Linked DNA regions of Oryzias latipes. The protein of the gene in region 4 purifies or fractionates together with the protein of the main gene of each other region. This does not show direct contact. Links are inferred from orthologs where the notes say so. Each region holds a gene or a part of one and is shown on either strand. Other genes may lie near its edges.

Region 1 (6,926 bases), on a different chromosome or scaffold from region 4:
GGGGGCTTAAGCAGACGTGGGTCAGAACCGCTCCACCCCTTTGGCCCCCTGACTCATGGAGCCAGAACCATGGGGGGGGGGCTTAAGCAGACGTGGGTCAGAACCGCTCCACCCCTTTGGCCCCCTGACTCATGTAGCCAGAACCATGGGGGGGGGCCTTGGGCAGACGTGGGTCAGAACCGCTCCACCCCTTTGGCCCCCTGACTCATGGAGCCAGAACCATGGGGGGGGGGCTTAAGCAGACGTGGGTCAGAACCGCTCCACCCCTTTGGCCCCCTGACTCATGTAGCCAGAACCATGGGGGGGGGGGCTTAAGCAAACGTGGGTCAGAACCGCTCCACCCCTTTGGCCCCCTGACTCATGTAGCCAGAACCATGGGGGGGGGCCTTGGGCAGACGTGGGTCAGAACCGCTCCACCCCTTTGGCCCCCTGACTCATGGAGCCAAAACCCTAGGGGGGGGGGCCTTAAGCACACGTGGGTCAGAACCGCTCCACCCCTTTGGCCCCCTGACTCATGGAGCCAGAACCCTAGGGGGGGGGGGGGGGGGGCTTAAGCACACGTGGGTCAGAACCGCTCCACCCCCTTTGGCCCCCTGACTCATGTAGCCAGAACCATGGGGGGGGGCCTTGGGCAGACGTGGGTCAGAACCGCTCCACCCCTTTGGCCCCCTGACTCATGGAGCCAGAACCCTAGGGGGGGGGCTTAAGCAGACGTGGGTCAGAACCGCTCCACCCCTTTGGCCCCCTGACTCATGGAGCCAGAACCCTAGGGGGGGGGGCCTTAAGGACACGTGGGTCAGAACCGCTCCACCCCTTTGGCCCCCTGACTCATGGAGCCAGAACCCTAGGGGGGGGGGGGGGGGGCTTAAGCACACGTGGGTCAGAACCGCTCCACCCCCTTTGGCCCCCTGACTCATGTAGCCAGAACCATGGGGGGGGGCCTTGGGCAGACGTGGGTCAGAACCGCTCCACCCCTTTGGCCCCCTGACTCATGGAGCCAGAACCCTAGGGGGGGGGGCCTTAAGCACACGTGGGTCAGAACCGCTCCACCCCTTTGGCCCCCTGACTCATGGAGCCAGAACCATGGGGGGGGGCCTTAAGCAAACTTGGGTCAGAACCGCTCCACCCCTTTGGCCCCCTGACTCATGGAGCCAGAACCATGGGGGGGGGCCTTAAGCAGACGTGGGTCAGAACCGCTCCACCCCTTTGGCTCCCTGACTCATGTAGCCAGAACCATGGGGGGGGGCCTTGGGCAGACGTGGGTCAGAACCGCTCCACCCCTTTGGCCCCCTGACTCATGGAGCCAGAACCATGGGGGGGGGGCTTAAGCAGACGTGGGTCAGAACCGCTCCACCCCTTTGGCCCCCTGACTCATGTAGCCAGAACCATGGGGGGGGGCTTTAAGCAAACGTGGGTCAGAACCGCTCCACCCCTTTGGCCCCCTGACTCATGGAGCCAGAACCATGGGGGGGGGGGCCTTAAGCAAACGTGGGTCAGAACCGCTCCACCCCTTTGGCCCCCTGACTCATGGAGCCAGAACCCTATGGGGGGGGGCCTTAAGCAAACGTGGGTCAGAACCGCTCCACCCCTTTGGCCCCCTGACTCATGGAGCCAGAACCCTATGGAGGGGGGCCTTAAGCACACGTGGGTCAGAACCGCTCCACCCCTTTGGCCCCCTGACTCATGGAGCCAGAACCATGGGGGGGGGCCTTAAGCAAACTTGGGTCAGAACCGCTCCACCCCTTTGGCCCCCTGACTCATGGAGCCAGAACCATGGGGGGGGGCCTTAAGCAGACGTGGGTCAGAACCGCTCCACCCCTTTGGCTCCCTGACTCATGTAGCCAGAACCATGGGGGGGGGCCTTGGGCAGACGTGGGTCAGAACCGCTCCACCCCTTTGGCCCCCTGACTCATGGAGCCAGAACCATGGGGGGGGGGCTTAAGCAGACGTGGGTCAGAACCGCTCCACCCCTTTGGCCCCCTGACTCATGTAGCCAGAACCATGGGGGGGGGCCTTGGGCAGACGTGGGTCAGAACCGCTCCACCCCTTTGGCCCCCTGACTCATGTAGCCAGAACCATGGGGGGGGGGCCTTGGGCAGACGTGGGTCAGAACCGCTCCACCCCTTTGGCCCCCTGACTCATGGAGCCAGAACCATTGGGGGGGATCTTAAGCAGACGTGGGTCAGAACCGCTCCACCCCTTTGGCCCCCTGACTCATGGAGCCAGAACCATGGGGGGGGGGGGGGGGCTTAAGCAGACGTGGGTCAGAACAGCTCCACCCCTTTGGCCCCCCTGACTTATGGAGCCAGAACCATGGGGGGGGATCTTAAGCAGACGTGGGTCAGAACCGCTCCTCCTGACATGTGTGTGTTTGTGTGTTGCAGTGGCACGTCCAGGCCACCTGTGCCACTCAGGGGACCGGTCTGTACGAGGGGCTGGACTGGCTGTCCAATGAGTTGTCCAAACGCTAAGCAGCTGACTGATGATGTCACCGTGTACAGAGGAAGAGGAGGAGCCTTCCGCCAGACTGTTCCTGTTTTTTTTTTCTTTTTTTAAATTATAGCTGTAGAAGGAAGTGATGTCACAGACTCTGAGGTTTCCCATCATCCTCTTCTTCTTCTGCCGGTGTTTGTTCTTTTATGCGCATGTTTTAAATCCAGATCATGTGACAGGATGTTTTGGGAGAGGGGTGGGGCTTGGGGCAGGTGAGAGCTACCTGGGCAGGTGACGAGTCATTCCACAGCCGGACCGGCGCCCCCGTCATTCCTGCCTAATGTGAAGAAGAGATGAAGAAGATGACGCAATAAAGCTTTTTCTTGTCACGCTGGTGGGCTTTGTTCTGAACCAGAACCTGCAGACTCTAGACCAGACCGGTCTCAGAACTGAATCTGGTTAAGGATCAGACAAACTTCAGGTTTTCGTATGTTTATTTGAATCAGTTTTCAAAACATTAAAACTTTATTTAAATGACAAGTTCTGACAGAAAATCTGGTTTCTTTGGGAGATGAAGATTTTATTTCAGAATCCAAAACATGCAGCAGAACCTTTGCAGGATCGGTCTTCCGCTCTGCCTTCAGAACCACTGTAGCTGACCTTGTTCTGTAAAGGTCCAGAACCTAAACGTAACTGGGTTCTGTCCAATGATCCAAACAGAACCGAAACTGTTTAGAGAACTTGCTCCAGTTCTGTGCGATTGGTGGGTCACATCAGTTCATTACTGAGCAAGTCGGTTCCGACTCGGTCCAAAGGTGGACTGTCGTCCTCTCCGCCTGGCCCCGCCTTCACGCTGTGACGTGCTCAGGATGCGCGTGCTGACGTTTGACCACAAACACCTTCTGACCGGAAACGGTCACCGCCAAGACGAAGTCCTCCAGAACCACTGCGAACAGAACCGAGTCAGGGCGGGGCATCACCAGCCGAGCTCACCTGTCAGGTGTGACTTACCGGACATGCGCTTAAACGGGACGTCCTCGGATCCGGGTGACCGGAAGTGGTCCGCAGATCCAGATAACCGGAAGCGGTTCGCGGTCCGGACCATCTGCATTATGACGCTCGCCGTGTGCTCGTCGTTCTCCAGCTCACCTGCCGACTGCACAGGTGAGCCTGCTCAGGTTCGGTTCGGTAACAAAGCTGGGCCCGGATACTACTTACCGCCAGAACTCCGTCCTCGCTGATCACCAAGTACCCGAGCTGGTCCGGGATCCGGTCCAGACCCGCCGTCAGCGCCGCCGTGCTCTGCACACAACACACGTGAGGTTCGGTGAGGTTCGGTTCGGAAAAGCGGCACGGAGACAGAGAGCGAACTCACCATTCTTCCGGAAGATGATCCTTCACGTGACTGCTGACGTAGGCTGGTGGGCGGTGCCTTTCAGGCCTTCCAAGCGACTTCCGGTCTGTTTCGCTACACTTCCTGTTTACTTAGTCAATAGTTTTCTTCTATCTGAGCATGTATTGATTATGGGGTAGATTCTATGTAGACGTTTGTAGCAGACGTCTCTCATCTTGTTATTAATTAATCATTTCTGATTCAGGGTCCAAACATTTTTCCAGGACGAGTCAGGAATAAATGTTCTCCAATAGAAAACAGCAGAGGAACAGAAATGACGTTTAGCTGAAACACGGATGATCTTGTTATTCTTTAGTTGAAACAAGATTTTCCAACATTAGTGTCACTTAGAGACATGAAGGGAATATTTGCATCAAGTACAGTATTTTTAAAGAGTTCACAGATTCAGTAGGAACGGCGTCCCCAGTAGGATATTATTGTCAAACCAATGATTGTAAAATAAAGATTTGTTCTTGTAAAGGATATCTCTGTTATTCCAAATAAAAAACTTATGAGGAGAAAAGTTGTGTTTATAGATAAGAAAGAAGAATCTGTGAAAAGCAGAGATTTTCACTGGGATTCTGTCGATATTATAATCACAAAGCAGAAGAAAATGGAGAAAAGCTACTTTAGCAAACATGTGACGAGGGAAAATATTCCAAATGGAGAGTGGATTTTTGAAATATCATCCAGTTTATTTTAAAAGTATTATTTAAAGTAGTAAGATCAAGAAAATTTAGGCCTCCTTTTTCATAGGAGTTCATTAATACAGATTTTTTAAATAATGAATCCGGTTTTTCCAGATGAAGTTTAGCAGCATTTGATCAATAGATTTCAGAGTCTGATTGTCCAGAATTAGTCAGTCTAGAAATCCCCTCTGCTGTGGAGAGTGAATCCTTCCTCAGACTCTGGTCTCTCTGAAGCCTTTGGTTCAAACGTTTTTTGGCTTCATCAATGAGGGGGAGGGAAATTTAATGAGCATCTTTCTAAACTACTTTTGGAAATATTAACGCCTAAATATGTTACAGTTTCTATTACAGGACTGTTGCAGATTCTAAAGCACAATCTTCAACAGAAAGAAGTTCTTATTTGTTCAGACTGAGACGTAGACCTGAGACATCAGAGACAGACTGGATACGGTTCAGAGATCAGGAAACCTGACTGCTGTCTCTGAAGAAGAGAGTCGTGTCATCAGCAAACTGACTCATTAACATTTCTTTATTAAGAACTGAGACGCCTTTTAATTTATGAATATTGATACAATCAGCAAGAGTTTGGGTAACTAGAAGAAAAAGATACGGTGAAATAGGACCCCCCCCCCCATCTGATTCCTCTATTGGGATTGAATCTGGGGGGGGGCATTTTTTAGTTTGACAGAACAGTTAGCATTAGCATACAGAGTTTTAACTGTATTACAGAAGAAATGTATGAAGACAGCTGAAGATAAAATGATGATTAACAGAGTCAAACGCTTTATAAAAGTCTAAAAAGAGAATCAACTGTCATCAGAGATCAGGTGTGAGGAATCTAGAATATCAAGAACTAGACCAATGTTATTGGAGATGTGTCTGAATCCTGATTGTGTCTCTGCAATAACTGAGTTTAGAACAGATTTAAGTCTCTTTGCAAAGACAGATGCAAGAATCTTGTAGTCATTATTTAATAGATATACGGGACGCCAGTTGTCAATGAGAAGTCCATCTTTTTTGGGTTTGGGTATCAGAGTAAGAACGCCTTGATTTAATGTTGGAGGAAGGAAGCCTTTTTCTATGCTCTCTACAAATACCTGTGTCAGAAAGGGGCTCATTTTATCACTAAATTGTTTATAAAATTCTCCCGTTAAGCCATCTGGTCCAGGAGATTTGTTATTCTTAAGATGGTTAATAGAGAAAAGTATTTCATTTTCTGAAAGAGGAGAATCACAGAGATCCCGTTCAGAAGCCTGTATTGTTGTAGATTCTAGTTTAGGAAGTGATCAGGATCTACGCTGGGTTCAAAGGCAGACAGTTTACTGTAGAACAGGCTAACATCATCTGCAATAACTTTGGGATCAGAGGTCATCTGGCCTTCAATGTTTAACTGCTGTAGTGTATTTGTCTTGGAACGACGTTTCTCCAGTTGAAAAAAGTAAGAGGAATTCTTCTCCCCCTCTTTTAACCATTTCAGCCTTGATCTTCCAAAGGCTCCTTCAGCTCTGTTCTTATAAATACTGTCTAATTCTTTTTGTAATAATGCCAAATTTATTTTATCATCATCTGATAACTCTGCAGGATTTCTTTTTGAAATTGTCATAATGTCATTGATAATTTGGCTTTCTTTAGCCTTTTTAGTTTTATTTAGTTCTGAACTAAACTTTCTAACAAAAATTAGTGATTTCAAATTTAAAAAGTTCCCAGTTTTTACCGTAACAGTTTTCTTCTTTTGCTAGATTATAAAAGTAAGAGATGAATTCAGAAACCTTTTGTTGTACTGTGTCTAGCTTAAGCAGTGAGTTATTTAACATCCAGTATGCTCTCTTATTTTGGGATCTAGTTTCGGATAATTTAATAGAAATGTAAATTGCTTTATGATCTGTTAGTGGAGAAGGAAGAATGTTGACTTCAATATCATCTGCATTTAGACAATCAGACACCAGCCAGTAATCTATGCCAGATTGTTTGGATCCATAATTATTACTGCAGGTAAGAACAGAGTCTGATGGGAATCTTTCTCTGCAGACATCTTTCAGGTTCTGTCTCTGCATGAATGAATGTAACTATCAGGTGATAGAACACGTGGGGGCCATTTGTCCAGCTGATTATTTTCAAGCTGTATTAATCGGGAAAGTTGTTTAGACCAGAAATTATATCATTTTCATTCAAAGAAATGAGCTCAACGTTTTCAAGTTTGGAGTTGTAACCGTATCTGTTAATAGTAATAAAGATGTTACTTTGAGTGGACATTATCAGAAACACAGAATGACCCTGAATGTCACATTTGCTCAGAAGAATGTGTTTTGAACTGAGAGTTCCAGCTGACCACCATAAACATCTTCACCCCACTGAGATTTCCAGAAGTTTCTATCATTACTGCTAGAATGTGACTCTTGAAAGACTAAAAG
Region 2 (7,992 bases), on a different chromosome or scaffold from region 4:
ATATGCTAAATATGAAAATAAACATCAATGCTAAATATAAACGCTTATACGTATAAAAAGGAAAAACTGTGTTTGTGTTCCAATGATGTGTGTAATAAGTTATAAATTCTACATCTATAATATTTTCCAAGAGCAGTTAGTAATGATGCCTTTTGGCAACTCCTTGTCAAATAAGTGCACGCTGAAAACAAAAATGCTCCTTTTGGTGACTTTCTAGATTTGTTTTTTACAAGTAGAATCTTCAACTTTGGCCCCTCCCCAGAGTGACATTAACAGAACGGGATATGCGTGCAAATGTATTTAGCTCAGTGGCTGTGACGGGGTTCTTCTCAGCAGCAAAAAAATAAATCACTCTGAAATAAGATGCCCAAGCCAGCAGACTCAAAATTTCAAAAATGGGATTTTATTGACCCCCCCCCCCCCAAAAAAAAAGAAAAAGAAAAGAAAAATCAGACAATAAATTCAGCTGATTTCGGGAGAGCCTGTTGCCACCACTGCAACCAAGACCGCTCTCCCTCAACTGGGAAAAGTAAGTTCACCCCTTATGAAGGCTTAGCCCCTCCCACAGGCATCCCAACACGTCAATGCAAGGGTGGGGTCATAGGATAGAACAAGGGTTAATGGGTTCATGTCTGCCAAACATCCAGAGCACCCCCCATGAAATGTCCCCATAGGAAAAGTTTGAATAAGAGGTTTGGTTTGTAAAGAAATAAAAAAAAAACACCATTAAGACGTATGTTTTAGAGATGGAGATGCTGGGAGTTGAGACAGTCACTTAGCTCTGCAGACAGAGGTTTATGTGCACGTTTTTGTAGCTTTCAGGCCATGAATCTGTTGGGTTTGTTTGTGCTCTTCAGGCCTCCGTCGCTGTGGCTCATGTTGTTCACGGCCTCGTGTTTGTTTGCAGTCACAGACGAGAAAAGGTCGATGACGGACCGGAAAGCGCTCCGGCTGCAGAAGACGGTCCTGACCGCTGATGGAACCCAACATCCTCCTCAAAAAAGTGCATTTATTTTGAAAAACTGTTTGAGTTCAGGTGCTGAGGATCGACTGTCGGCTGTATGTTAAAGACTGAAAAAATATCCAAAGTATTTTGGTCAGAAAAGCCTTCTGTTTGTTCTGGAGTTTCAGCTAAAGTGGACCAGAGGAATGTTGTATAGATTCATGTTGTTCAAAATAGATCCCCACCTCACTTTAGTTGTGTATTATATTTGCTGTTTTAGAATAAATATTTAAATCACTGTAAAGACACTGAAAGTTTGACTTCAAAAAATATCTCAGATGGAGGTGGGGGGGTGGGGTGTAAGGGTGGGGTCATCTGGACCCCATAGGATAGCACAAGGGTTAAAGTTAATCTGAATATCAGAGACGAGAAAAACGTGGATTATATTTTTCAGATTACACCAAACATGACTGTTTGTCATATTGTGAATGTAAATGAAATATAAAAGTGATTTCTTTGTTTTTTTTTAAAAGTTTTTGTCAGATTTTAATTCCATTTTTTTACGTTCCAACCTAACCAATAATTTTGGAATCATGAGAATCATCTTCAGCGTGGGACGCTTTTGTGGTTCTTCACTCTTCTCAGAGAAAAAAACAAACAGTGGAGCTCCTGATGGAAAAGCTTTTATTCAAGAGTTAGAAATGACAACGCAAGGTGAGAAGTTTGCAGCAGAGGCGACGGTAGAAACTGTAGGCGGGTTTTCTTAGCAAAGCATCATGGGACTTTATGTGACCTCCACCACCTGCCTCAGCTCCTCCATCAGAGGAGCCAGCTCCTTCTCCAGAGTCATGATGAGGCCTGAGGACAGAAAAGGAGGGTTTTTACAAAACGCCTCCCACTCGTGTGAAAAACCAGATGGATTCATTTTCACAAAGCTGGATGGCTCCTAACTGGAGTCTGTTGCTATGGAAACAATCTGACCCTACCCTGGTCAGGATCAGGTTTATCTGGAGAATCCCCTGACTGCATATGAGCACTGGACTGAATGTGACATCACACAGAGAAAATGGTTTACCTCCAGCTCCAACCACATGAAGTCAATTCACTCGCCATTTTTTCAGGATATATAAGCAGCGATAAGTCAATCTGAGTCCATGTTTCTATGGCAACCACTCTCACCAATCAGGAGTGAGCTTGTTGGAACTCCACACCCCTACCACCACTTAAAAGACATGAAATCTGTCGAATGGATACTCTTATCTGATTGGTCAGTTTATAACTTGAACCACAGAAAAATATGACGATCATAAAAAAAATGTATCCGAGTAAGAATACTTACTCGGATCAAAAGACTGAGTAACAGCTGTCTATTTCTCTGTAGGATTAGGTACTTCCTGTTTGGAACGCCAGGGGGGGAGGGCTCACTCTAGGTTTTGATTAGGCCCCTCCCACCTGAGTCTGCAGGATGGGTCAGACTCACAGGATTCATCTTTTGTCAGAAGGGGTTTGACAAGAACTTTTTTTCTTCTTTTCACTAAATATAATCCAGAACATTCCTGGAGATTCCCGTCAGACTAAATGATCTGAAATGTCGGGTTTTTTCTCAGATAAACTTCAACTTCTTGGCTCTTGAGCCGTATTTTAAATGCCAGTATTACCACATTGCAACATATTTTGGACGATGATGCTGAGTCACTTTCTCTGCTTTCTTTCATTTGGATGATGAAAAGGCCTCAGGTAAAAGTTTTTGCGTTTCCATGGCGATATTTCTCCTTCCCCACGATGCAGCAATAAGCTACACACGAACAGCGGGGTGCACGGAGATGAAGACTGAGATCATTTTAAGACACGCTCTGTTCAGAGAACATCAAACAGACTGCAGATAACCAGTGGGCGGGGCTCCTCAGACACGCCTCCTCATCTCACCTGTGTTGGCGCTGCTGCTGGCGATGAAGCTGACGACCAGCGGCAGGCGGTTAAACTGCATGATCTGTCGAGCAGAGACAGCAGACGGGTCACAAAGGCAGAACCAGAGCAGAGTCTGGTTACCATGGAGATTGGCCGGGTTAGGCTGGTTCAGAGCAGAAGGAATCCATCAGAGTGATTTGGTTTTTTTTTTTACTTAGCAATAAAAAAAACCCAAATATTTTCACTTCTCTGATTTTTCTTAAAAAAACTCAGGAAAAAGTTCAGCTGGCTTAACAAATCATGAAAAACAAAAGAAGACCAACAGATTCTGAGATTTTCCTCTGCTGGACGTTTTGTCTGCTCCATCAGAGGATAACGTTTGCAGACTTTTCTCCTCTCTGTCCCAGCAGAAGTTCTTCTTTACTCTCAGAACCCTCTGACATTTACAGAACCTGCTCTAGTGCTTCTGTTGTGATCCGACTCCCATGGATCATCTCATTTCAGTCCGTCTCACTCTGCTTTTATGTGAGGCTATTCTCTTAATCCCACCCCCAAAAGTTTACAAACAGGAAGTTTGTTACTATAAGAGACGATGGAGACTAGAGTCTGGTTCTGGATCTGACCCGGACCGGACACAAACTGGCAGGAACCGGATGAAGCGAGCGCGGGTGAAAGGCGCCGGTGTTCCGGCTGCCACGCCCCCACGCGGTGATGCTGGGAGGGGTCACCTGGTAGGTGTTGTAGTAGCAGATGATGCTCTTGTTCTTGGAGAGGCCCAGCTTGCTCCCCTGATCCGTGGCCAGAGCGAACGTGGACAGGAAGCCCGGTCTGAGCGCGTGCACCGGAACGCTGTCGTTGGCAACTGGAGGAAAACAAGCAGGCGTGTTAGGATGAGGACTTCCTGCTGGTGAGCGGTGCGTTCAAAGACCAGGGCCAGAAAAAAAAGTCAGAAAAATCCCCAACAGTTTGACCCCTAAAATGCAGATGAATGAGTCTTTTAGATCCATTTTCTGCTCTACTTTGGTGACTTCTAACCTAAACTCGTACGAGTGGAGCCAGAGCTGAGTCACCCCAAACCATGAAACTACTGCCACAACAAGAAGCTGCTGAGGCTGAGGATAAAGCGTTCCTGTTGAGTAGCAGGTTGGCCCTGAGGCCAAAAGTATTTCTAATAAGTTATTAAAACACAGTTTATTGGAACAGAAAACCCGAAACAGAAGAAGTCTCACCTTTGATTACCGGGACGCCGTCTCGGTCCGTCACCACGATAGCGTGAAGCCCGTCAACACTGAGGACACAGAAAACTACTATTTACATGTGATATAAGATACAAAAACTCTTTTTTGAGAAAAGAGATTTGATTTATAATACAGATTTTTTTTTCTTGTTATATAGTTAAAGTAAATCACTTTGTGCAATAACAATAAGGGACAAAAGCCTCACCTCTGCATCTGTTTGTACAGGAACCTCTTCAGATCCTGCAGACGGGAGCATAAAGAGTTAAGGAGCAACCTCAGAAACAGTCAAGAACGTGGACGTCTGTGAGCTTTAGAGCTTCAAACCGTCAGAGAAGATCCTGGTCTCCCCACCACCATTTTCACCCAGCATTACTGACAATAGTGACCGAGTAACCGCTGTTAATTTCTCCAAAGAAGTCTATGGGATTCTGGCTTCTTGGAGCCAACAGGTACTTCCTGTTTGGACAGCCAGGGGGAGGAGTCACCCAGTCTAGTTCTCATAAACAGTTAATGGAAAAATGTCACGTGACCTCTGTAGAGCGTCTGTTTTTAACACAACATATCCACATGTATAGAACAGAAAGAAATAAAGATGAAAATTAGGACTGTAGTCTAATACAAATGTAATATAAAACTAAGGGTTGTTACACAGCTTATCTGTTTTGCACTTTTGTTTTAATAAACTTTAGTGATTAAAAAAAACATATCTCTCTCTAAAATTTATTAAGTAATGGTTTGATTTTTTTTTAAGAATTTGCTGTTGTGAATGAAACATTAATACAATATTAAATGCCAAATGAAATAATTTATCACCTACAAACCATCCCACATGATACTGTGTGTTTTTGTAATTAGAAGAGAATAGTGAACTTTGAGCATCTTCCCAAAAACTAAAGAGTTTTTAGTGAAGCCTAACAGAACAGGAGGTGCTAAAGGAGGACAGACAGACTCACGTCCGCCATGGCAGCTCCGAGGACCCAAGCCGGTTCCGTCACAGGAAGTCAGGAGAACCGCCGGCTCCGAATCCAAAACACGACGAGCCCGTCCGGAGCGTTTCCACAGTGAGCTCGGTCCTCTGAACGTTTAAACAAACAATCAGCTGATGCTACCACCGTGAATTTCCAAAGAGCTGCAGTCACGTGACGCTTCTTCTTCGCTGTCACGTGACGCTTCTTCTTCGCTGTTTTAAACTGCCGTGTGCTCTCTGCTCCCCCTGCTGGTGGTCAGACGTCATGGTTCATCCATGGTCAAACCAAGTCTAATGTTTTTTGTCTTCTTTTGACTGGGAAAAATGTAGATAGAAAATATATTAGAACCTCCATCATAGTTCTGGACTAAGTGAAGATTCTAACATTACTTACAACTGATCGAAATGTGCTGGCAACATATTTCAATAAAGTTGACTAAAACTTTATTTTCCAATTATTTTGAATTGGAAATTTCTTTTAAACTTATTCTAAACACAGCTAAAATATTTCGCAGCTACTGCCACCTACAAGAAAATATTAGTATTTGGTCTCCAATCAGATACAATATATTGATTTATTTGTCCGGTATTGTAACATCCCTTATTATAGATTATTATACTGTCTTGCTGTCCCTGCTGAAAGCCCGTCGTCAGTCCATCCATCAGTAACATTTGCCCAATAAAAGTCATTAGTTCTTTTTTCAGCAGAGCTGCCTCCTCCAGATCGGTTGTTTCTTTCTGTGTGGATTGCTCAGGTGGGTGTCGTCACCTCCAGGGTCCTTTGTTTCCAGGACATTCCAGGCACTGCAGCTCAGGCAGGAGAAGGTTTCTGATCATGTTCTTCAGAACAGGTGAGACGTGAACTAAATCTTCAAACGTTCATCTTCCAATTGTCAAATGTAGTTTTAGGGGAAAAAAGCCCAGACACAGACATGAAAGAGTTCATGTATGAGAGGTATTTGGAAAAAGGAAGCTGTTCTCCTAGAAAACGGTCTTCGGTGCAAACACAAACATGGAAATGTGGGCGTGGTCTGAAGGAGCTTCAAGGGAATCCATTCAGACCACAGGAACCTGCTGGACCGGTTCAGAGGGGATCTGGGTCTGACATAAGTCCCAGGTTCAAAAAGGTCTCATGCAGCGGCTGAAGAGACGATGGAAGCTGCAGAGGAGCAGAGCGTGGAGACGTGAAGGTCAGAGCAGTCGGACACACAGCAGGACTCATCAGGTCTGAAACATATTCTGCAGCTTCACTGCTGCCCCGCCATCACGCCGTCCCGTCCCACCCGTCCCCCCTCTTCTGGAGGAGCCATGAAGAGCTTCTGCTTCCGTCTCAATGAAACCATCCGTTTTTAAAGGTGAATCTTCAGAAGTTTCTCTGTGTGTTGATTAGTTGACATGAACATTTTGATTATGACAACCAGCCTTTACAAACATATCACACACATGTTTATTATAATGTCATCATTCAGAAAACACACAGTTGGAGAAAAAACATTCAGGGGAAGAAGATGGACGGTGTTCTCACAGATGACTTCATCGAAAAGACTTCTGAGGAGCTTCTCCTCCTCCTCCAGACGTTCCTCCTTAGATCAGAAGAACGTCATCAACCCAGGAATGTGTGATTAAAGCGCTCCTTACTGTCTGTGTGACGCCATCAGGGGGCGGAGCTAAACAGATCTGAAAAGGCTCTCCAGAGCAGACGTGGGAAAGGTGAAGCAGAACTTTAAAAGGACCCTCCTGTGATAAAGTCTAGACAGTCTCTTCTGCCCGCTCTGGCAGGAAGTCCACGTCTGCGTCCATCAGCTCGTGCTTCACTGAAGCACGGGGGCGGCAGTCAGTCATGTGGACCACTCCACGGACCAGAGAGAAACGAAGAGGGAAGGTTCAACGAGTCCCCCAGCAAAGGAGGCCGAAGAAGAAGAGGAGGGCGGCCTCACTGTACCACCTCAAAGTAGTGCAGGATGGCCATGATGTGCTGCGGCATGAAGACGTATCCCGTGTAGACAGCCATGCCCAGCACGGAGATCAGCAGGGAATCTGAGGCAGAGCGTCAAGGAGGAACGCAGGAAAGTGGGGGGGTTCACTAGAGACAGAGGAAGGTTCTGGACATCAGGGTGAAGGGAACCCACACGGGCTTACAGAGGCAGGAACGACAACTCAAACTAATCAAATGTCGCTGATGTTCCTTCAAAGCTGTTCCATTTTTCAGGAAATAACATTTTGAAGGGAAATTAGACATTTCAGGTTAAATCAGCAGCTAAAAAGCTCTGAAAGAACTTCTGCTGAACACCTCCTAGGCCATGTCTGGATCCCCTCACTGCTCCTAACCCCCAAAACATGATTCAGAGCGGGACTATCCTGGATTTGAATGCAATTTAGACACAATGCCGAGTTCTGTTAAACGACAAATATGATGTCACCCAAATGCTGAAATAAAAACCCCATAAATGTGAACATTTTATAAAGTTTACTTCTAAATCCCCTGTGGTCTGATGATGAAACCTAAATGATTCAGACCTAATGACAAAATGAAGAAGACACTGAATAGTGAGGGAATTTGAACCCGACCTGAGATTTCCTTCAAACATGTGGATTGTATACATTTGGAAAACGTAAACTTTAAAACTGTTAGCTGGACAAAATTAAAGATGGGGGAGAAGAGCTTTTTCTACACACACCTTAAAGTTCACAACGATATTTTCTGACTGCTTCACTGATGCACATTTAAACAACAAACTCTGATTTTCCACCCTTTCCTCCCTGGGAAGATCCCAGCTCGATGGGAAGGAATGCTGACAAAAGCTCCACGTTTGCCTAGTTTTACTTCACACCCAACCGAGCTTGGCTGGACCAAACCTGCCAGTGTGAATGCTCCTTCAGGTCATAGTTTACTCCTTTGCCTCCCCGTCTGTTTACTATAAAACGGCGAGCAATGT
Region 3 (7,931 bases), on a different chromosome or scaffold from region 4:
TTTAAATAGTCACATCCTCGCTGAACATCCCTTTATCGAGCCCAGAGCAGCTCACCGCACTCTCTGTGGAGCAAACAAGCATTGAAGACCAAAAAATAAATAATCACAAAAAGCTCTGAGATCTCACCATCTCCTGCAGTTCATGGAATTTGAACACACTCGACTACGATGGTTAGTTTCTGATTAATATGGACAACTCTATATGAGGATAACCTGCAGTGAACCTTTTTGTGTAAAACTAACACTTGAGAAGGCTGCATGTCGGTTCAACTCCCCTTTACAAGCAGACAAACTCTGTACAAGCCATCATGTTTTTAGAATCCGTCTGTACAAAAGGATGAATATGCTGTGTCCTCCAACACCCTGCCCCTCCATCACTCTTCTGTTCCCCACTGCATTCAATTATCTAAAATTCTGAGGCAAAAAAAAAAAAAACACACACAAAAAATTAAAAAATGTCAAAACAGAAGCTGACTGATTCGTAGCTGACATGAGTGAATTAAATCCCCACACATCAGACGCATTCATCATTTGGCTAGAACAGGAAAACAAAAAAAATAACCAAATGAAAATTTTCAGTCCCCACCCCTGCTTTTGAAACGCTGTTTCATTTTCCTTCATCGTCACAGAGACTGCTGGGGTTTGCACTCCGTCCATTCAGTTCATGCTTTTGGATTAAAGTAAAGTGAGACTTTCCTGAAGATTCAACCAAACAAGGCGTGAAAAACTTCCAGGTTATAACAAAAGAGAGATGAGGAATGTGACTTTTCCCCTACATCTCCATATGGAGCCTGAAATCCCACATGAACCTCTCTCCCAAGTGCACATTGGACAGAAAACCTACTGTCACAGATCCTCTAAGCACAATAGTGGACAGTTAGACCGGAGCAAAACCTCTGTGGGGTTTTTAACAGTCAGAGGTATGACTGAGAGGTATGACCGAGAAGCACAGGATCAAAGTAGTTTTAAAAAAAAACAGAAAAAGTGGGCTGGAGGAGAACACAGATGAGACGAAGAGCGACTTGGATGGGAGGAACAATATGCAGGTCGGAGTTGCAGAATCAAGGAATGGCAAACTGGACCACCAGTTCCTCTTTAGCATCCACTTTGATTTGAGAGATCGCACTGTAAGCATAAGCAGCTATCTTGGACACCTGCGGAAAAAGGACAACATTGTAGGTTTCATTTATTTGACAGGAACCAATTACAGGAACATTAATAAAAGAAAAGGTGCTTTGTCCCAGACCATAGCTCTCAGAGCTAATGTCCATTTGCAGTCCCAACAAGCAGCAAGTCAAATATTGAAGAATTGAACAAAAATTGTGTATTTGCTCTTTAAAAGATGTCTTACAAACGTTCAGCTTTACAGTTAAAAGAGAAAAAGCAACTCTTCACATGAAGTACTTAGCGGAGACGTCTCCCAACGAGGTTTTTTTTTGCCCCCAATCCGATTCTGAGTCATTTGATTTTGAAAATCTGCATGATCAGAACGCTATTACAGACTTCTAATAGAATATTTTAAAATATAAAGCACTGATCATAATAATGAAAAAAAAAATTAATATTAATACTTCAGCAGAAAGTAACATGCGATTTCAACTGAGAGTCTAGTAATTAATATCACTTGTTTTCTTTTTTTTGTCCATTTGTACATTTTTAAGGGGGAGAATTCTGAATGTTTAGATGAAGAAATGGGTTGATGCAACAATATTTCAAAATACTCTGTTTTTATTTTCAAAACACAACCAAGATAAACCTCAACTTTTTTATAGGGTCTTTGTTTTGTTTTTTAAACAAATCACCTGGTTTTACAGCATAAAACAAGGCAGGACAAACAGGACATGGATTCAAGGACATGGATTAAAGTGCGTGTCAGTGTGGTTACCTGCTGAATATCTGAATATGACACCAGATCACTTGCAAGCACTTGGTGGGGCTGGGTAGTGAGTGAGGGGAGGGCTAGTGCTTTCTTCTGTGGTAGGCTGGTGCTCACTGCAGTCAACTTTGTACTGGAACCATAAAAAAAAACACAAGTTCAGCTTCAAAAAAAATTAACCCAAATGGTCTCGCTTGTGTCCGACCAGACTGCACAGTTTTGCACTATAACCGGCGGTTGCCTTTTACAGCTTGACAGCTGTTTTGTCTAAACAGCTTTTATAGGGAAGCACCAGCACTGCAGCAATTTTGTGGTTAAATTACCTCCTTCACAACTTCCTCAGGATACAAAGACCTCATCATCCTCAATTGCTTTAGATTCCACGAATAAAACTGTTTTTTTTGCTAAATCCGAACCATGTATACAAAATATTGCAGAATAAAAGTTGTTCAACCAATTACAATACAGAGGCTTGCAGTTTACAAATTTAATATAAATTTAAATTATTGGCTTACACATGCCAAAAGTTCAGTTGGTAACGAATAAGTAGTCTTCAAAGACATACCTGTATTGCTTGGCTTTGTCCATGTATTCATGCTGCTCCATAACAACAGAGTCAGCTGCTGAGACATCAATGATGTTCCTCAAACACAACAAAGAGATTTTCATTACTTGCGTTTGAGACTATAGTGTCAAAAGTCCCATTCTGGACCTATCCAAACATAAAAAGTGCCTTACTGTGCTGTCTTGACCAGGATGGATGTGAGAATGGCCTGCTCATCCGTCCGCGCTGATGGGACGCTAGGATTGATCCAGTCTGTCCCATTTGGAGGCTTGCTAATGGGGTTTGGGTGGGGGATAAGGGGCTTAATCTCATCAGGGTCCTTGCAAAAGTAGCAGAGCATCTATTCAGACAATTTATACACACTTCTGAATGAAAATGTCACAAATACTGTCTTAAAACTGTTTTCTGAAGTAGTTGCAACAATGAAAGCATGCCATTTTACCAGGACAAAAGACTGTAGATGACATGTGTGCAGCAAGTTACTCATTTTTACTTTTAATAAGTGAACATATTACAAACTCTTCAACTAAGAGAAATCTCTGCAACCTTTGCTAGTGCTGAACAATAAGTCTGTTATGATATTTATTTTTCATGTGTTAGGTTATCCAGTACCATTTCATTTTAAATATTTTAAGAAACTTTTTCACTTAACCGGAAAACAGTTCATCTCAACTTTTAATTCTTTAAATACGAATACAAAAACCCTTCATCCACTTGTACATGTTATGCTACCAGACCTTACACAAATCAATAAAAATAATGTTAATTAAACCTAATGTGTGTTTTATTATAGAGAAATGTTTAAACTAAATCAATTATACTTTAAATTTCACTATGCTTTTAACAGAACAATTTACGTGTTTGGTTTAATGTGCTTTGCAAAAATAATAAAAATAGAGGGCTAAACAGTTATTTTACTACAACTATGATGGCATATTTACAGTAACAAAGGAACGTCACACTTGTTTCCTTATACTAAAATAGCTTGGAGTCTGCATGATCATGTGACACTGAACTCTTCAAGACACAATACGGAAAAGTCTAGTTATGTATTCTGTACAGCCTACAGCTCACAATTGATTTCTAACCCATGATTAAACAGCACGAACATAATCTACGTAACAAACTGCAGGACGTGAATTTGTTTGATAAGTAAATATTTCGTATATATAAACCACTAAACTTTAACAAGAAATCCAGATGTTTACATTAACAGATATACAACTTGTTTACTTTACTTAAGCTACTAAATCAGCTCCGGGCTAGGCCTGCATTAGAGTTAGCTACATTGCTTTAGATGTTACAGAAATATCTGACACAAAACTAGAAGTTACATGGGCAGGTTTTCCTCTTTATATTTAAATATCAATTTTAAAAAAAAGTAAATACCACGGTAAACAAGGCAGAACCGAGCACCGTACAGTTATCGGGTTGTGGTTAGCTAGCGGCTAACTACCTGACTTGTGTTCTCGTCCTCGTTGCTGTAACAGCAACCCATGGCGGCGGCGTCTGAGGAGCCAAACTAGCAATGCGCGGCTTCCCTGTTCTCCTTCAGATACGAGCCGCGCGCTCCGTCTCCAACAAACATAAAATTCCTCTCCTGTGGACTTTTACTTTAACAACATCAAGAAGCAGGAAGCTACTGCAGCACAGCAGCTTTTCAGACAGGCTATCACATGACAGCAGCTGTGTTGCAACAACAACTCAACTTCTACTTCCGGTTCTCGTGAAGCCGCTGCGGCCTTCGTCACGTGATGCAGGTTGTTTCATGCAGAAGCACAGTGGCGCCCTTCGGCGGGGCCGTGTGCCATTAGAACCCTCACCCCTTGCTTCGTTAACCCTTGTGCTATCCTAGGCATTTTAACATTGGGAGCTGGGTCATCTAGACCGACTAAACAGTGCGCTGAATCTTTTTTCTTCAATGATTTGTGATCTTCACTGGTGTCCATAAATTACATGAAATCTTTCCACCTTTATCCACCTTTGTCATGGTAGGGAGAACACGTCAAAGTAAGGGTGGGGTCATCTAAGATAGCACAAGGGTTAAAACAAATAATATTATTTTTGTTCCAGGCAATTAATGAAATCTGATAAACAATTATGTCATCAATATTTGTAATAAAAAATAGTATAATGTTTTTAAATTATGTATTATAATATACATATAAATCTTGAATCTATCATTTTTACAATATATAAAAATTATTAAATAAATAAAAAATATTAACACCTTCGTTTTCCTCCAAAATTTATTTAAGATAAGAAAAAATAAATATCTGTGGTGAATTCCACCTTCAGGAGCTTTAGCTGAAAATAATCAGTCATCTGTTTAAAAGCCAAAGGAAAAAATTGAGCAGAGCTGAAAAAAAAGACCTTTAAGTGTTAAATAATTTATCAGAACCAACAGCAGGTGAACAGGCCCCGTTTATATCGCTGATAAAGAAAATGGATGGACAGACGGACAGATGGATTATTTATTTTGTTGCTGAAGTGATGAAAAAAGGTATTCTTTTTCTTGTTTCATCTAATAACTGACTTTTGAAATCTGAAGTGTTGGATTTTTGAGTGAACAGTAATGGATAACAAAACTCCGCTTGGGATAATCTGAATCCGAATTGCAACTAAAAAAGACCCACAGTTTGCTCAGAATGTTGGAGTTTTGCTAAGTCCAACTACCTGCCAATCAAAAAAAAAACACACACCTCCACATATTCCACACCTGTGGTGAACAAAAATAAATCAATAGAAATATAAAATTTTGCTTTAAAGTCCGACTTTTAGATGTGAGAGTCAGTGGGAAATTGCCTCATTCTGAAACCAGCCTCTAGTGGTCATTTAGGTGTGTGACAATGAATGGGCGTTAAATTTAAGGTTCTCCATTTCAGATATTCACAGTGAATGTTTGGAAATCCACATTTACTCATAAAAATCCTCACAGAAATTAAAGAAAAGAAAAAATGTACCAGTCATAATTAATGAAGATAGTTAGACAAACAAATAGTTAGCCAAACATAAGTGCGGACAGGAAATATATACAGTAAACACATTTTCAGAAAATTTTTTCAGAAACAAAAAGTTTTTAAAAAAAACTCCATAAGCTGTAAGCATGGTTGTGACAATTTTATGTTTTTGACAAGGAAAATGTAGATTTGTTCATGAAAATGGGTCAATTTAAATATAAATATCTCAATGTTGACTTGTTTTTATCATAGATTTGTCTATGAGCTCTTATTGTTGTTGTTTTTTACAGTGAAGACAAAACTTTTAAGGAATAGCATGATTAAATTCCAGAGTCAAATGGCACTACCGGTAAATAAAATACATTTGATTTAAAACACATGCCTTTCAATGATGGCCTAACAGCGGATGAACAGTTCAACATTATAATGGGGTGGCCATGGTGCAGCAGTAGGGCGGCTGACCTCTAATCGAAATATTGCCTGTTTAATTCCCACCTGCTCCGCTTCATTCTGATGCATCCACCTTTTATATGACTAGATCCAAGTAGATCTTTGTTTTCATCATCAGAGCTGGCATCAGGCATTACGATAACATTGCTCCGGAAATGTTATGGTGAGGGTGTGAGGGGCTGTTAGCTACAGGAAGAGCGAGTAAAATGACATCTTTCAGTAATGGCTGAATTTCTAATAAACGACTGCCACTCCGCAGAAACTGTCCAAGAAAATAGCATAGGTTTGCTGATTTGGGGTAAAATCGGCATAATCATATTTAAAAGACCACTTGGAACATTTTTAGAATAGAGCAAAAGATGATTAGAGTGGGACTTTGAGAAAGTCAAGTTTACTGTACTAGATCAGTGTGTTTTAAACTTTGAGATTTATAAAAAAAAATCAAGAAGTTCTCTTTCTAATACCATTCTTAACAAAAGCAAGATGGTGTGAGAGAGGAGCAGTCTGTGACATGTAAGCACAAGTCTAATCTCTCTGGAGAAGATGAAAGGGTCTCCGACACGCCTCACAGACGGAAAACAGCGGCACTAAAAAGAGGGGTTTCTGTCTCAGCCTGATGATAGAGACAGAAGCTTTTATTATACTCAGCAGTTACGCTGCATCAGAACCATTTCTTACTATATTATGTTGTATAACTCGTCATTAACTTTTTCTATTAATCTGTATAATTGCATTTGCTGAAATGCTTTGAAATCTGCCAGATCTACTGCTTTTTTATTTGTAAATCCAACATTTGAGCCGTGTTGATTTTAGGGATGCTGCAATACTGTTTAAAACCGAACAATGTCACCGCTGGCGTTCCAAACAGGAAGTAGCCGCTTGCTCCCAAAACCAAAATCCCATTGACTTCTATGGAGGAAAAGCTGCCATTACTTAGTCATCCTATTTGTCAGAATAACCATTCCTGCTCTGACACTCTTTTAAAGACCCCTTCCAATAAAAATTGTGTTTTTTTAACATGCTCTTGAAGCATTTTTCTCAAAATTAGTGACTGCTGCTGATTAAAATTGCGTTGCTGAGTATTTCTTTACTGAAAACAGTGAGAATCAGGAGCAGATGGGAAAAAAATGCAGTTTGAAAAACAGAGAGCTCTCAGCAAAAGGGGAGGGGAAGGGGGGAGGGCTTGCTTCCCCAACAGTCCTGCCCACAACTCAGAGGCAAATTTCTAAAAATAAAAACTCCTGCTGCTTTGCTGTCCTAGAAAACGACGGGTTTTTTTATCCTAAATACTGCATAATCTTAATTAAAAGACCACTGGTAATAATTTTACAATCGATCAAAAGATGATTGGAGTGAAACTTGAATATAAAAAGCCTATAAAGTGAAGGCACACTGGTAAGGCTCTGTACGGCTGCAGAGGTGGGCTGAAGGAGGTGCCTGTCTCTTCATCACCTCCTGTTTCCTCCACTCCTCTCCGTTTCCACCTTCAGGAGTTGCAGCGGCTGGGATCCAACCTGAAGGCAGTATGTTTATCTTCCTGCTCAGCCTGGTGGCTCTGCCGCCTGCAGCCTCCCACGACCCCGGCAGCGTGGCTCTGCTGACCCCGCTCGGACAGCCGTCCCTCCGCTCCGTGTGCAAACCCATCCCGAACACCCTGTCGCTGTGTCACGGCATCGGCTACCGGCGCATGTGGATCCCCAACCTGCTCGGCCACGACAGCCTGCGGGAGGTGCAGCAGCAGTCGGCGGCGTGGCTGCCCCTCGTCTCCAAGCTGTGCCACGGAGACACCAAGAAGTTCCTGTGCTCCCTGTTCGCGCCCGTCTGCCTGCCGGAGCTCAGCGGGCCCGTCAGCCCCTGCAGGGGCCTGTGCGAAGCCGTGCGGGACGGATGCGTGCCCGTCATGAGCGCCTTTGGCTTCCCCTGGCCAGAGATGTTCAACTGTTCCCGGTTCCCCCACGGAACCGAACTCTGTATCCCGGCAACCGGGGCGCGGGAGGGGCGGACTGAAGAGGAGGTCCGGCACGAGGAGGCGCTCAAGGGTCTGTGAACTTTGACTCCTCAAAAAGCTTTTCCAAAGTAG
Region 4 (8,042 bases):
CCGCCGCCGTCGCCCGGGACTCGGAGGCGGGTCTTAGGCGGGTCAGTGGGTTCTGCTCTGATGGCAGAAGAGTGAATGGAGAGGATGAATGCTGCTTCTGGGATGGACTCAACTGAGAGGGAAGATCATTTGACAGAACTGCTTTGACTGCCGTCATGTCAAGAACCTTCTGATCCAGGAGTTCACCTTCACGCTTTAACCACTTCTCCTGAATGATATCAGACACATTTTTAGTTGTTCTTTTGCAGATTTGACTATATATGGGACTTTTCGCGCACCGATAACCAAACATTTTTGAGCAGCAGATTTGGTCACTTTCCCAGATAATATCATTACTTATTTGCAATCTTTTTTTTTTATTCGTGTTCAGTTTCTTTAGACAATTAAATACCCATTGAGGGATTAGAAAATGTTGACACATTTTTCTGCTTTAGCAATACATTTTCCATGTTATTCTTAACTTCCGCATCTTCAGATCCAGCTGAAGCAATCGCACATTTCTGCAGAAAATTCTATTTTTATGTCCAATTTCAAATAACTGCATCAAAAGGTAACCTCTTTTCATTCTAAATAGCCCGAAAAGGACTAAACGACAACTAAAATTAGTCATTTGTTCTCATCTAATGTCTGCTAGAGCAGTGTTTTTCAACCGGGTTGCGGAAATCCGGAAAGTGCCCTCAATAACTGATCTAAAAACATTTTCCATCTCCAGGATTTCAGCTCTGTGTTCATCCAAACAGGCCCTGATAAAACACAGAGTAGTTAGGAATATGAAACATAATAAAAAACTTTTTTCTTTCTGTTTATTTGATTCTATTAAAGACATTTTGATAAGAATGACGGTACCGTGATTTAGCCGTAGCTTCAGCTGTTTTTGGAAAAGTCCCGCCCCTTTAACTGTCTCCACCAATCATTCTTGGAGGCTTAATCACATGTCATCAGTCCGACCAATCAGAAGTGGTTAAAGTCTTCACTTCCTTGTTCTGATTCTGCTCATAAAGTCGCTCAGTTCCAACAAAAATACCAGCTAAAGCTCGTCTTTATCGGTGTAGCTTTCCACAGAATCCGGTGTCAGACCGTGGAACAAGTGAACAAAACAATGAAGCTCAGAGAAGAGTGTCTGCCCTTTTGCGGCAGTTAACACACTACATCTCCCATAATGCATTGGGTTAAAGTGACAGCGTCTCAGCGCACAATGAGTCGTACTTGTTAAACGTCTTGAAACCACATCAGTTTTTAAATCTTTTAACTTAACTTTTATTACATTTTTTTAGAAAAAACAGCAGCAACTTCCAGCTTTTTCTGCCACAATTATCATAAAAATGTATGTGAGATTGTGGAGGGGCTGTAGATCAATACAGACCGAGTTTCTCCTTCTTCTTTTTTTCATTTTTGGATGCTGGTGTGCCGCAGGATTCCTGTCGAGGTTAAAGTGTGCCGTGGCTCAAATAAGTTGAAAAACACTTTACTAGAGAACCAACAAGAACAATGTTCATGGAAATTATAAGAAAAAGAAATGTCTGAGTTTGGAATTTTAATCCTAGAGATTTCCCAGAAGGATTATTAATACAGAATGTATTGTGTTAAATCTGAATACTTGAAGTTAATGTGGATACGGAGACTTGGAATTCCACTTCATCATTTGCAGAACCTTCCAAAATAAAAAATAGATAAAAATCACTCATGGTCAATAAAGTTAGTCTTTCCTCACACAAAAATGTACTACAGAAAAAACCTTAATGTCAACGTGACAACAGATTTCTACAAAGTAATGTCAATGAAACAATAACATGAAATGATTGTTTGCATAATTATTCAAGCCCTTTTAAATTCAATAGAAGTCCATCCAATTAGTGCCAATAGTCTATCAATTAACGGAATGAAGATCACCTGAGTGGAGTGGGTGTGTCCCAAGGGGGTTATAAAACACCTGTCTATGAAGGCTCCAGATACTGGTGGTGCGGTTTTTCCGGCTACCATTTCACCATGAAGACAGAGGAGCCCTACAAACAGCTCAGAGACAGGGTTGTTGAGAGGTACAAGTCAGGGGGTGGATACAAAAACATTTCCAAGGCATTGAACATCCCCCGGAGTTCAGTGAACTCCATCATCAAGGAATGGAAGGACTATGGCACACGTGTGAATCTGCCTAGATCAGGCCGCCCTCATTAACGGAATGACCGTTCAAGTAGGAGACTTTAGAGACGCCACCAAGACCCTACGGCTACTTTGAAGGAGATAAAAGCTTCAGCTGCTGAGACTGGAGAGACGCTGCACGTAGCAACTGCTGCCCGGGTTCTTCACCGGTCAAAGCTTTACGGTAGAGAGGCAACGAGAAATCCACTGTTAAAGAAAATACAGACTAGAGCTCGACTAGAGTTCACCAAAAGGCAAATGGAAGACTCCATGATCAAGTGGTAGAAGATTCTTTGATCTCATGAGACCAAAATTGAGCTTCTTGGCCATCAAACAAGATAGAAACCAAAGACTGCATATCATCAAAAATACACCATCCCCCCACCGTGAAGCATGGTGGTGGTAGCATCATGCTGTGGGGATGTTTCGCAGCAGCAGGCACTGGAAGGCTTGTAAAGATAGAGGGCAGAATGAATGCTGCAAAATACACTGAAAATTTGGAGGACAATCTTTTTCAGACTGCAGGAGAACTACGGCGTGAGAGGAGGTTCATTTTCCAGCAAGACAATGATCCAAAGCAAACGGCAAAAGCTACACAGGAATGGCTTTAAAAGAACCAGGTTAATGTTCTGGAGGGGCCGAGTCAAAGCCAACACCTGAATGTGTGGCTGGACTTTAAGGAGCTGTTCCTGCCCGGTCTCCACCCAACCTGACAGAACTGGAGCAGTTTTGCAAAGATGAATGGAGCAACATTCCAGTGTGCAGGTGCACAACTCTGATAAAGACTTATCCACAGATTCAGTGCTGCGATGGCAGCCAAAGATGAACAAGTACGCAAACCAACAAACTTTATTGACCATGAGTGATTTACGAAAGCAAGCCACTGTATGTGGGAATAAAACTTTGTTGTTTTGGACAAAAGAGGGCTGAGTTACAAGAGTCAGTTATTGACTTTTATTACTTTAAGGTTGTATAGAGCTTCTGACGAGGAGTCATAAAGGTTTCTAGAAAATGACCATACATCCAAAAAGAAACTGTATGGTTATTTTTTAAAAGGTTCAATAGATCCTTAAAAAAAAAATCAAAATGTTTGGTCCAAGGATCAAGTCACGGCTCAGAATATCTATATTTTCACTAAACAAACAAGTTCAGGAAGACAGAAACCTGATGAATGTGATGGTGATGTCGGTGAAAACACTTCTGAGGTTCTCCGATCCAAAACCCCACGGAGAACTGCTGTCTGGTTAGAACCATCTACGGTAGAACTTTTCCGTCTAAAGTCACAATGTCACCATGAACTGCAGATCACATCATGAGAGCCACAAAGCTCTGATTTCAGGGAAGTCTATTGGAATAAGCATTTAAAGTTGAATTCAACCTGGAATAACACACAGTTCCTTTAATGAGTGGTCCCCAAACCCCGGGCCATGGACCGGTACTGGTCTCTGGGACAGTTACCGGGCCGGAGAGAGAGAGAAAACTACACATACATAAAATTACACAGAGAAACTACAGGAATCGATTCACAAACTAAAAACATGTATCCCTAAATCTATGGAGATTTCTCAGAAAGCTGTGATTTCTCCTCAGGATTCAGATCCATGTGAAACTTTCCATGCGGACAGTTTAATGAACCCGGATTCAGATGTGTGATGGTTATCTGCGCCCTTACATGTTTAATCGATCATCGTTGTTATTATTATTTTTCATTGAAAATGTGTAAAATAAAACTGGAAGGAAACAATAAAATTAACAGAAAATGCCAGTGAAGTGACGCACAGATGGATAAATGCCAAATGAACCCTTCAAATAAGCCCATCGGAACCGGTTCTGCTCTGTTGCTGACCTGTAAGTTATGAAGGACCACTAGAGACCAAGAAGACAAACTAGAGGTTTCACGGTTATTTTATTTTTGTTTTTATTTTTTTATTTTTTGGCGATTAGTTTCCTAAGATCTGAATATAGCAGTAATTTAATTACTCCAATGTATCGGTTTTATGTGGCAGAAAGAGTAATCCAACTGTATATTTTATTGCAATAGCATCGCTAACTGCGCGCGCATTCACTTCTATTAGCAAACGGAACAGTCTACCTGTGGACAGGTGATCGCCTCAAACGTACCTGAGAACATATTACATCTACATTTCTGAAAAATAACTTTTTTCGGGAGAAAAGCACCAACAGACGAGCCCCGTGTTGTGGTCACGCGCTCAGGTAAAAAGGTTAGCTGGAACGAAGCTGAAGTCCGCCCGCCGAACAACAACAGCCGGTCCTGACGGCACCGCAGATTCCCGCGTCCCACAGACTTGACTGACGGACAATGCGGCGTCTTACCGTCCTGCGTTCGAGTCGCCGGTTCAAATCCAGAGGAGGCGACGCCGGTTTCCGTGGGTGCGTCTCGCAGCCGCGAGCCCGTCTCTTAGCCGGTCTGGTCTGTGCAGCAAACACGGCTAGACACGCCTCCACGGGGAGACACGCCTCCAGGGACAGCACAAAGCACGCCGATTGGCTGCTACAAAAACTTTGCACTGACGGTGGCCGAGAAGGTCCAAACTCCTGTCAAAGACACGAAATTCACTTTCCAATTGTTTCCCTTCTGGAAAGAAACTTCAAGCATTAAACACCTGATATTTACTCTAAATGTTCTGCTTTTACCTTAAATTCTGATTCACGTTTCTTGGAATTTTTCTAAAATGGTTTTATTAATTTAAAACAGAACTTTAGCTTTAAATTTTGTGATGAATCACCCACAAGAAATGTAATCATTTTAATCTTTCTCATTAGATGAGGTTTCCTTGTTCCATGTAACTTCACTGACTTCTACTGTTTCTGTAAATTCATTATACGTTAATAAATATTTTTACTTCGCTGTATACAGTGACACACCTGACATTTATTGTACTATCTATACTTTAGGATAAATATTATTGCAAATGTAGCAAGTCTGCTATAAACCATGTACATGACATGTGGGAAGTATAACTGAATACTTCAGACTAAATTGAAAATCTATGTATATATATTACTATATAATATATCACAATGTGTGGGAAAAAGTACACTTCAAGTGTCCCACTTCATTTTTAGTATAGACTTGGTTTGCTTGTAGTATACTTAAATAGACATTTTTTGGTAAGGGTAGGTATAACTCTTCTGAAAGCAGATGTAACTATCTACCATTCTCCCATGAACACTTGGCAATAAATAAACCAAATGTACTTTTTTGAACAAACCTTCACAAAGCCGTGAAAATCCTTTAAATTACTCTAAAGAGCGTGATGGTGAGCCACAGTCGGGTTCTTTTCTTGTTACTGGGAATAAGACGACAGAAGCAGTAAAAACTCAGAGACAAATCAAGTGTCAGTTTAGCAAAGCAGCTCGTCAATCAAAGAGAGTGTAGGTTGTTGTTGCTACAGGCAAAACATTTCCATTTAAAAAATAATGGATTGGATTTTTCTGCGCTTTTCCAGACGCTCAAAGCGCTCACAGTGTGTTTCCATTATTCATTCAATCCTCATTCAAACTTGACTGACAGAGGCCCCTCTGACCATCACCGATGGTCCACACACCAGTGGAGCCACACTGGAGGCAGGGAAGGTGATGGGAATTCCCAAGGACACAACAGCAGCAGACTGCTGGCATTGAACCAAACATTTTAATTGGCTTTCATTAAAACAAGCGAGAGGACAAGAGAGCTGACAAAATTTTTGACCATTTATCACTTAACAGTGAAATTCAAACTGAGGTACATACTGCCACCTACTGTGTGGGGGGTTAAATACTGACCTACATGTCACAACAGTATTAAGGATGCTTGCTCATTAGGATTTCAGTGAAGTCAAACTTGCAATGTTTTCACATTTCCTGATCTAACATGGCTATAAAACCAGAGGATGGCAGTGAAATTCCTTAGCTAAATGAGTTAGGGTGTAGAGTGTTCCATTGTTTTTCCAAAGTGAGACAGCAGTACAATGTCCACAGAATATAAAGAAATCTGTTATGATGTCGTAGTTTGCATCTTAGCTTTTTGGGTTCTTTATTCTGATTCCTGGTTCTGTTTTCCTGCAGGTGGCCTCTCCCCACCATCTTCTGGTTCTGGTACCTTGGATCTGTCAGAGCTGCCTGCACTGTTACTGTCTGGTTTTCAGGGTTTTGGTCTTCAGTGTTGGTGGGCTTTTGGCAACGTTTTTCTGGCTGAGGACTGTCGGGTTGATATTTGGTGCTTTGGTGGTTTTTCCGACACTTTGGCCACTGTCTGTCATTTAGTTATTTGGACCTATTTTCTTGCCCTCCCAGCCGTGACCCTTGCCGCATGTCACGAACCGCACACAGGCTGGAACCTCTCTTTGGTGATAGAACACATGGGGGTGTAGTGATTCCTAAGAAAATTCAGTTCTTGTCGTCACAAGAAACAGATGGAAGATCAAAAAATTGGAAAAGAAGAATCATCTAAAAATTCACACAGAGAATAAATATGAGACTGGAGAAAAAAAGATGAGCCAAAAGACCTTTTGGAGGTAATATCTGAGTCAGAAAAAAAGAAAAATTCTTGCACTGAAAAAAAAAAATTACAAATAAACAAATTGAACATCGGTTTCATGTCTTTCTGGTAACAATACTGCTTTGAATAACACAATATGAATCCAGTTCAGTCTAAATTATATGGTACACTTTACAAGCAAATTGTAATTAAAGTGCTTCACACATTTAGAAAAAAAACAATACTAAATATACACATAAATGAAAAAAAAACTTGAAATCTCCAACTGGAAAGGGGGAAAGTGTCCATATTTTATGAAGTAGGAACTTTTTATTATTTCCCTTTTTATAGCGAGATGTCATCGGGGCATTTCCCCCATTAGAGACACCATTTAACCCTTTGAAAGAGTTTTAATCTGTCAATAGTTTGTCTTCAACATTATAAGGACCAAACCATTGGTGTCACACAATAGAGGAAAATGAATTGGACCCATTTCCCACTGCTAGAACACAGTAATGAGAGAAAATGACAGGAAAAACTGGACTGGTAGCAGGATTGATGTAGATCTAGATATCGCCCTTACCTGAAAATCCTGAATTTCACAACCTTGTTTCGTTCCTGCGTGTGACTGTACGTGATAAGAGCGTGATATGATGGTGCTACCCGATCTGTGACGGGTACCCGCATACAGCCATGTCACAACGGATGAGTGTACAGGTGAAGGCGTATCTAGAGAACCGAAAATTAGACAGGCAGTGATGTAAAACTTTCATCAAAAATATAGTAAAAGTATTTTATTATATTGTTTTTTACTACAAACAAGTCTTAGCAGTCGATCTCAATGTGCCAGTTTTTCAACATTTACAGGGCGTTGCATTCTGGGAATTTCATCTTTGAGCGGACGACATTAATGGTGGACGTAAATTTTTTGTTTTTACATAAGTTAGTTTTTATTCCATCAAAATGTGGTTTTAAGTGTGTGTGTTTTTTTTTTAATAATTAGGGTCATTTCTGTCTTTATAAAGTTTTTAAGCGGCAGGTTTTACCCCGATTGTAAAAAAACTGTGAGGAAAGGTGAACATCTGTGGATTCTGGGGTTAATAAAAAAAATGCACATAAGTCAAAAGCTTAAAAGGGGCCTAAGTTCTTTATGTGTTCTTGTAACCGTGTTAGATCTTCCTGCTTTTTTTTGGCCCTAATTAAAGGACTGACGTTCAGTGTTGGTCTTTAAATCCTTTTCACCCTGAAGCTTTTCACTCAGGTTCCAGTCAGAAAAGACCCTCTCCAATGAAAATCCTGTTCTTGGGATTTATAACGTGTTCTTGTTGCATTTTTATGATGATTGAGGACATATATAAAGAAGTTAAGCTCGAAGGTGGATCCCAACTGTACTTGGGAATAGCTCCAATATTGGTCGACAATTTTG

Evidence for each region.
Region 1: the proteins of slc38a9 (region 4) and lamtor4 purify together in Homo sapiens (affinity purification with mass spectrometry; 4 studies listed by BioGRID and IntAct, with this or other methods). This does not show direct contact. The link is inferred for Oryzias latipes from reciprocal best matches to the Homo sapiens genes SLC38A9 and LAMTOR4.
Region 2: the proteins of slc38a9 (region 4) and lamtor3 purify together in Homo sapiens (affinity purification with mass spectrometry; 3 studies listed by BioGRID and IntAct, with this or other methods). This does not show direct contact. The link is inferred for Oryzias latipes from reciprocal best matches to the Homo sapiens genes SLC38A9 and LAMTOR3.
Region 3: the proteins of slc38a9 (region 4) and lamtor1 purify together in Homo sapiens (co-immunoprecipitation; 5 studies listed by BioGRID and IntAct, with this or other methods). This does not show direct contact. The link is inferred for Oryzias latipes from reciprocal best matches to the Homo sapiens genes SLC38A9 and LAMTOR1.

What each region holds. Positions count from the first base shown.
Region 1 is NC_019881.2:23,886,276-23,893,201, reverse strand, and holds lamtor4 (ragulator complex protein LAMTOR4), read right to left. Parts: upstream 3,918-6,926; 5' UTR 3,812-3,917; coding exon 3,809-3,811; intron 3,736-3,808; coding exon 3,652-3,735; intron 3,590-3,651; coding exon 3,445-3,589; intron 3,380-3,444; coding exon 3,282-3,379; 3' UTR 2,921-3,281; downstream 1-2,920. Other genes in the region: ADP-ribosylation factor 4, read left to right, coding at 2,385-2,471. UniProt on the Homo sapiens protein: As part of the Ragulator complex it is involved in amino acid sensing and activation of mTORC1, a signaling complex promoting cell growth in response to growth factors, energy levels, and amino acids.
Region 2 is NC_019880.2:24,347,254-24,355,245, reverse strand, and holds lamtor3 (ragulator complex protein LAMTOR3), read right to left. Parts: upstream 4,513-7,992; 5' UTR 4,447-4,512; coding exon 4,414-4,446; intron 4,330-4,413; coding exon 4,295-4,329; intron 4,140-4,294; coding exon 4,081-4,139; intron 3,714-4,080; coding exon 3,580-3,713; intron 2,934-3,579; coding exon 2,870-2,933; intron 1,802-2,869; coding exon 1,728-1,801; 3' UTR 1,611-1,727; downstream 1-1,610. Other genes in the region: dapp1 (dual adapter for phosphotyrosine and 3-phosphotyrosine and 3-phosphoinositide), read left to right, coding at 858-977. UniProt on the Homo sapiens protein: As part of the Ragulator complex it is involved in amino acid sensing and activation of mTORC1, a signaling complex promoting cell growth in response to growth factors, energy levels, and amino acids.
Region 3 is NC_019871.2:21,797,012-21,804,942, forward strand, and holds the start of lamtor1 (ragulator complex protein LAMTOR1), read right to left. Parts: upstream 4,226-7,931; 5' UTR 3,940-4,225; coding exon 3,898-3,939; intron 2,761-3,897; coding exon 2,615-2,760; intron 2,520-2,614; coding exon 2,442-2,519; intron 2,010-2,441; coding exon 1,886-2,009; intron 1,155-1,885; coding exon 1,062-1,154; 3' UTR 1-1,061. Other genes in the region: secreted frizzled-related protein 2, read left to right, coding at 7,377-7,890. UniProt on the Homo sapiens protein: Key component of the Ragulator complex, a multiprotein complex involved in amino acid sensing and activation of mTORC1, a signaling complex promoting cell growth in response to growth factors, energy levels, and amino acids.
Region 4 is NC_019870.2:27,085,571-27,093,612, reverse strand, and holds the start of slc38a9 (sodium-coupled neutral amino acid transporter 9), read right to left. Parts: upstream 4,599-8,042; 5' UTR 4,471-4,598; intron 58-4,470; 5' UTR 1-57.